Linked DNA regions of Drosophila melanogaster. The protein of the gene in region 1 interacts with the protein of each later gene in a pairwise test. Each region holds a gene or a part of one and is shown on either strand. Other genes may lie near its edges.

What was found. The genes of interacting proteins can lie anywhere in the genome.
Region 2: the proteins of CG3078 (region 1) and SdhBL interact in a two-hybrid assay, tested with the Drosophila melanogaster proteins (one large-scale study listed by BioGRID).

The regions. Positions count from the first base shown.
Region 1 is NC_004354.4:2,258,064-2,261,814, forward strand, and holds the start of CG3078 (uncharacterized protein), read right to left. Parts: upstream 1,801-3,751; 5' UTR 1,658-1,800; intron 679-1,657; 5' UTR 412-678; coding exon 265-411; intron 204-264; coding exon 1-203. Other genes in the region: temp (tempura), read right to left, coding at 2,631-3,352, 3,403-3,751.
Region 2 is NC_004354.4:18,892,335-18,896,085, forward strand, and holds the start of SdhBL (succinate dehydrogenase, subunit B (iron-sulfur)-like), read left to right. Parts: upstream 1-2,111; 5' UTR 2,112-2,327; coding exon 2,328-2,559; intron 2,560-2,690; coding exon 2,691-3,564; intron 3,565-3,620; coding exon 3,621-3,751. Other genes in the region: Flacc (Fl(2)d-associated complex component), read right to left, coding at 1-351, 425-1,118.

The sequences.
Region 1 (3,751 bases):
CCACTGGTGGCCACCGGAGCTCCCGAGCTGGTGGCCAATCCAGAAGCTGGGCCCACTGCCTGGTTCGGACCCTTTCCGCCAGTTGTCCCATTGCCACCGAGCAGCTCTCCGTTGCCTGTTGCAGTTCCTGAGGTGGCATTGAGGCTCAAGGATCCGCCACCAATCCCCAGACCAGCCATTATGTAAGCATTATACGACGATTGCTGAGTGGAGTAGAAAAATACATAAGTCGTAAGGAGGGGGGATCTACTCAGGCGATCTCACCTTGCGCTGCTGAGCAAACGCGGAGAGACGCTCCCGCTCGCGACTGGTGTCCCGAGCCCGCTGCTCCAGCAGAAGTTCGTACTCCCGTCGCTTCTCCCGCTTGCGCTCCGCCTCCTCCAGCTCGTGAAGATTCGGCAGACTGCCCATTTCCGGCGATTATTGCCAACTTATCAAAACCTAGCGCCCGTAGTGCGAGTTATGTGGATTGTGGGGCCACTGCGAATCCAGTACTGCCATCGCTCCAAAACGGCGAACTCATGCTGCTGCTCCACGGGCATCCCATTCCAATCCAGTCTGCAATTATTGTCCTTGCTGCGTAGGCGGGTTCATTGTCCGCCGCCGACCTGCCACGCCCCCAATTCCGCGTATAAGGCTGTGTCAAAACGCAAATATTGTTCTCCTGCAGCGGAATGACTGTGAAGTGGAAACAGGAAATGAAAAAGTTGCGAGGCCTGAACGGCAGCGCCATCTATCGGCTGCTTATCGAGTTGACACCTGCACCTGGAAACCGTTACTCGCACACACACACACATACACCTGGCCGTACGTGCACTGCATACTTATGTGGGCCATAGGCCCTACGTATGCGCACATGTTCTTTCCGTTGCCGTTACCGTTACTTACTCACTACATTCTGGCACATTCACTGGCACTCGCGGTCGCAAAAATAGGATGGTGGGAATAATAAGCTTCTAGGCTAGCTAATCCTAATCTGATTGAAGTCCTAAGGAAGTGGCACCTTAATGCTCACCAATTAGATTGAGTTTCCACTAGTAGGATTACTTGGCAACTCAATAATGTGCCTATTAGCCGCTGCTATTAGTGCAGCCGCGAGTATAGCTCCCTTGGCCGTAGGAACTTCGCACACACACCCCACCCCCCACACTGGCACAAAATCATCAGGTGTGTCCATTTTGTGTTATCTACACATGTGCAGCCGATGGTGCCCCAGGGTCAGGTATTCCGAGGTATATTTCCAGGACACGACGGGATGGTGCAGGACAAGATCCTGGGGATGCCCGGAGGGAACAGGTCCCGAAGACAATGGCACAGTACTTTGCAGCCCATAATCAACTCATAAACATCATAAACTAACCCCCACCCCTCACGAACACCACACACCCATGAAGTGAACTGCGATGGAGGCGTAGTTTTGGGCCCACGCCCCTTGGGCCAGGAAAAGTGGGTGGGAGTTATAAAAAATGCAAAGAGGGCGGATGGAAAACGAATATGAATATTTTAAAACCAAACAAAGACGGGCACAGAAAAGCGCACACACACTCTCGATGCAATGCTCCCTTGAAATCCTCTTGGCCTGTACACATGTATCCACAAACGGAACCCCGTTCAGCAAACTAAAAAAAAAAATCGAATAATATACTTTGTTTATTACTTTTGATTTCTCGGTTGACTGGAATGCACTTTTTTTCGACGAGTCGGAAACAAATTGTTTGTAAGCCTTCAAAGAAGCCAGCACTTTCGCCACTCAACACTCCACAAAACACCGCCGCACGCGAACTGCTCCAGAAACACACTGAAAAGCTGGTAGGGATTACGGCCTGGCGATTCTGAGTCCGCTGCTGAAATTGTTGTCATCTCAGGCCTTCGGCAGCATCTCGCACATCCCACCTCGCATCCCAGGCATGCGCAATCGATACTCGTTACCCCACAATCCCCAGTTCACTCGGGGAAGGGATGGGATGTCATGGCTGTGGCTGCACCGCCACAAAACGATACCATCCCATATTACAACTGCTCTGCGCAAAAGAAACCCCCATACAATGCATTTTGAGTGCTCATTACGGCCATTACCGAATCGATATTCTCGAAATGAACGAGCCGAACTGGCTCGACGTTCAAAACTGCATAAAAAAGGCGTCGTCTATGATTTGGATTTATTTAAAAACTAACTGCAATTGGCTAACAACAAACACGTGCATGGCATGGCGATAATCGGTTAAGTTTTACTTCTGAACAAAGGGCTAACAAATCGTGCCCGGATCAGATTAAGAACAGAAACGAACAGGTAACGCTAATAGATATCGAAATGCAATTGGCGGACCAGTGAGATCCGTTGTCATATCGGGCTAGTTGAACTTTGTCTTTGGATCGCACATTTATAGTAGAGTAGAATAGAGGCATTTCCGTTTCCAAATCCGTTTTGAATCGTCTTCCTTTCTAGTATTTTACTCTTTAACAATTTGTCTTGCACAAGTTTCTGTATTTTTGGGACGATAATTAGATAGGAAATAAAACACACGTCTTTATACACTTGCCACATTTCAGAACGGATGGGCAAACGGAAAGGCCGGGAGTGAGTAATTCTATTGGGGTAGATTGATTTGAGCTTTATCAGGTCGCGCTGTCTAGTCCGCTGGATATCCAAAGCTGAGGTGAAGATTGCACCACCGCCGGTGCTTACCACCCAGGGTGGACTCCTCGCGCCGTACGGCACTTAAAAACGGATTATCTTCAAAGTCAAAGTTGCCCAAATGCGAACGCAGATCGCCTGACGCCACTGGTAACAGTTGGCCATTGGGCAAGCCCATTTGCAGGCGCACGCACTGCTCCACGATGAACTTGAGTGCCGCACGGCGATGCAGCTCGAAGCAATCCCGCGATCCGTACATCAAGCGCTGCTCGGCACACAGACGCATATCGTTGGCGGCAACGTTGCAGCAGTAAAGAAATGATATTAGCCTTTGCTTGCTCACGGAACTCAGATCCACATGTGGTAGCAAGAGACCCAGCAGATCCTCAGCGTTGGCTTCACATTCCAGGCCATAGCTTGTCATTAGATGCTGCAGACTGGCCAACGTAGACGAACCACTGGCTCCGGAATCCTTGGGAAGGGCAAAACTGAGCTCATATGCACGACTCAGGAGCACTTGGCGGTAGTGGTAGCAGCTGTAGTCACTGATGTGCTTCCGCATAAACTTCTCCGTGCGTAGCAGTTCCGATTGCAGCAGGCATGGGCCGTTCTGAAGGATCCACTGGCGGTGCGACCAGGCGTGATAGTTGCTGGCGCATCTATCGGCGGCCCTTTCGCATATCCCGATCTCATTGGGCCAGTCAATAGCATCGGCACCTGGAAATAATGGAATGAAATGGGATCCCCAGTTGCCGACGTCCACTTACTTTGAAATGAGTACAGCCAACGGCGGTAGGCGAATGCTTCATTGGACTTCGGTTTGATTGAGAGCACGAGTGCGGAGAACTGCAGCTCCTTGTTGATGCTCAGCCGATTCTTTTGCACCAGCTGACGGCGGATGTGCCAAAAGGTGGTCACATCGGGATTAATCAGCAGAGCCACGTTTAGGTATTTGGCCAGGGAGTCGCTCTGCTGCTGCTGCTGCAGCGTCCGCAGCTGTTGCGCCGTGGTTTGACGGCGATGGGAGATGAGGGTGCGGTGGGCGTGGTCGTAGACATGCTGGGCACACCACGATTCCAGGCCCAGATTGTGCTCCACATGCACAACCGGCGATTT
Region 2 (3,751 bases), about 17 Mb from region 1:
TACCACCTTCCTCTTCCTCCTGACGACGCAACTTTTCGCGAGCCAAGCGTTCCCGCTCCCGTTGACGTTCTTGGCAGCGAGCCAAGGCCTCAGCGCGCTCCTTATCCCTGGCTGCCTCCCGTTCCGCACGCTCGCGCTCCCGATCCCGACGATCTCGCTCCCGCAATGAGAGATCGTGGCGTTCGCGCTCTCTTTCTCGTTCTCGCTCGCGCTCCCTTTCCCGCTCCCGTTCCAGGGACGGAGTACGTCCACGTGCGCGGGTCTGGATGATGATCTTCTCTCGCGACATCAGTTGGTGATGCATTCGCGAGGATGAGCTGCTGCTGCCGCCTCCAAGACCAGAACCTAAACCTTAAAGTCAAGCAAAATTAATGGGTTAGTGGGTTGAGCCTAGACATAACTATATGTAGTATCTGATAGTTACCTGGACTCTTTTGCCGCTTACCCACGATGTCCTGATGGATGCGAATCTTGGTGGTGGTGGTAGTGCTGCTGCTCGGCGGACTCCTACTGCTGCCCAATCGATGATGGTCTCGCTCTCTGTCTCGTTGGACGACGCGCAGCTTGTCCCGCTCCCGTTGCTCCTTGCTGGCAGCCCGTAGCCTCTTTCGCTCGGCCAGCTTCTTTAGCTTGGCTCGCGTCGTCGGCGACAGGGAACGATGGACGTGACCACTGAGGGCGGCGGCCGCCCGTTTCTTAAGGCGCGCTTCCTTCAGTTTCCGTTTGATATGATTTCGCTTGGCCACCAGCTTCTTTTGCACATGATCCCGTTTGTCTCGCTTGCGGCGCGACGACGATGGTTCATCTCCGGACGAGCTGCCGCCGCGCCGTGAGCTCTTCTTTTTGCGATGATGACGCTCCGCGGAGCGCGGATGATGCCCATGGCCGTGGGTATGGGGATGACCGTGGACGCTGCCACTGCCGCCGGGACCACCGGCGCCACCAGGTACGCCCACCCCCACGCCGACGCCGCCCACGCCCTGCTCGCTGTCCGTGCTGCTGTACGAGCTGCTCCCGCTGTCGGAGTCCGAGGTGGAGTCCGAGCTGCTCGAGTGCGTCGCACTGTGACGGGCGGCCTTCTTGTAGCGGCGCAGCGACTCCTTGGCCTTCTTCTCCATCGCCGCGATCTCCGCTAGCCTGCGCGCCTCCGTTTTGGCTGCTTTCTTTTCGTACTCCGGTCGAAAATCAGCACGGCTATGCGGCTTATAACTAGTTGCAGCGTGTCTTGTGGTATAATGTCCTTGTTCGGAGGCGCGGACTTGCCTTGTTGTCTATTTTGTTGGCGTTTTCTTTAACTCTTCTTCTTCTCTATTTTCCTCTATATCTTCGTGTTTGTTGTTATCGATAGTCGATTGGCAGGGCATCGCGACCATCGATTACAGTCAGCACGGCGGTACATATCGATCGGTATAAGTTTGAAAATATTGTTTATTATTGTATCACATTATTATAATAAAATATAATTAAATAATTAAGTGCCTTTAACTATAAATAAATATTAATTTAACATTAAAAATATTATTAAAATTAATAATATTAATTAATACTTGTATTTATATTAATATATTGTATTTTTGTAACAATTTCTGCTTAAAATGAGTTCGGTTTTGGATTGAATTACAATTTCTATATCAATTTACCGGTTCAGCAACGGGGATTCAAATCTGACTTGTTATCCATTTTTATACCCGTTACTCGAAGAGTAAAAGGGTACCCTAAATTTGTTGAAAAGTATGTAGCAGTCAGAAGAAGGCGTTTCCGACCATGTACAGTATATATATTCTTGATCAGGAGTCGATCTAGTCATGTCCGTCTGTCCGCCATGTCCGTACCTAGAAGGTTGAGATCCAGCATACAGATTCTAGAGACAAAGACGTAGCGCAAGTTTGTTGATCTTTTTTCGCATTTTTATTAATCTTGTAAATTTCTATCGATTTGCCCAGAAAATGATAAAATTTCGCGTTCTCACATCCACTAGCTGAGTAACGGGTATCTTATAGTCGAGGAACTCTCTTTAGTTGATTTAAATTCCACGCATCCAAAACATTGTATAAAGCAGCCTGTTCTACTACTCAGTTAAACTGAACTTTTCATTTCGAAAAGATTTTCAAATCCAGCTGGCTATGCCTCTAGTGTCAAGTCGTATTACGGGCACTTCACCGGCTTCTCCTCAGTTTTGCTACACAGTTCGACACTTCAACACCTCAACACCTCAACACCTCATCGCCTCGGCACACATTCTCTCTCAACAAAAAAAAAAAAAAAACACATATATTTTTATAAGTACACATTTTAACTTAAAGTCTCATTCATTCGCTCGAAAACCGATGAATTTGTTGCGCCGGCAGCCTCGGCTGCTGAATAAACGGAGCACGTGGCTGTTTAGAAATTACGTGTTGGCCAACAGGGATGTGTCCGAACCCGTTTCCCGTCCTGCGGCGCCTATGTCCACCCTATCGATACCCGGACCAGCGCTGGCTGCCGCCACCCCAGTATCCGCCGTATCCCTGGTACCCCGGTGCACCCACTCCAGCCTCCAAGGAGGTGGACAAGGAGCAGGTTAGTTCTAAGTGAAAAGTTTTCTGATTCCACAATTTTCTGGGTTGTCAATGACTTTGTCATAATGACATTTCATAAATGACACCTGCACTTATTGATATGCTTAACTGAAATTTCTATATTCATTAAAGGAGGAAGAGGGCTCAGAGGATCAGCCACCGGAGGATCAGCCGCCGGAGGAATCGCCACAAAACGACAGTACTCCGGAGGAGCAGCCCCCGCCGGAGCCGCCAAGCCGGGAGGAGCAGCCCCCGCCGGAGCCGCCAAGCCCGGAGGAGCAGCCCCCGCCGGAGCCGCCAAGCCTGGAGGAGCAGCTGCCGCCGCCGCCGGATCCGCCAAGCCCGGAGGAGCGTCCACCGGAAAGCCAGCTTCGGGCAACGCACCAGCAACGCCTCCACCTCCACCACCTCCTCCGCCTGCTAAATCTGCACCCCCAGTGAAAGCGAAGAAGCCGCGATTGAAGACCTTCGAGATCTACCGCTGGAAGCCCGGGGATCAGCCGCAGACGCAGACCTACGAGGTGGACCTGGAGCAGTGCGGCGCCATGGTGCTGGATGCCCTGATCAAGATCAAGAACGAGATGGACCCCACGCTGACCTTTAGGCGCTCCTGTCGCGAGGGCATCTGCGGCTCCTGCGCGATGAACATCAATGGAACAAACACCTTGGCCTGCGTGTCGTCCATCGACCAGAATGAGAGCAAGTGCTGCCGCATCTATCCACTGCCGCACCTGTATGTGGTGCGGGATTTGGTGCCGGACATGAGCCAGTTCTACGATCAGTACCGCTCCATCCAGCCGTGGCTGCAGCGCAAGGATCTGAAGCGGGAAGCTGGAACGGCACAGTATCTGCAGTCCGTGGACGATCGTCTGGTGCTGGACGGGCTGTACGAGTGCATCCTGTGCGCCTGCTGCCAGACCTCCTGTCCATCATACTGGTGGAACAGCAATAAGTATCTGGGTCCCGCCGTCCTCATGCAGGCCTATCGCTGGGTCATTGATTCCAGGTGAGTGAGGCCATGTTGCTGCCAGTTTCCCCAGTGTGCTAAGATTTGCTTTGCAGGGACGAGGCCACCGAGCAGCGACTGGACTTTCTCAAGGACCCCTGGAAGCTATACCGCTGCCACTCGATCATGAACTGCACCAACACGTGCCCCAAGCACCTCAATCCGGCTAGAGCCATCATTCAGCTGA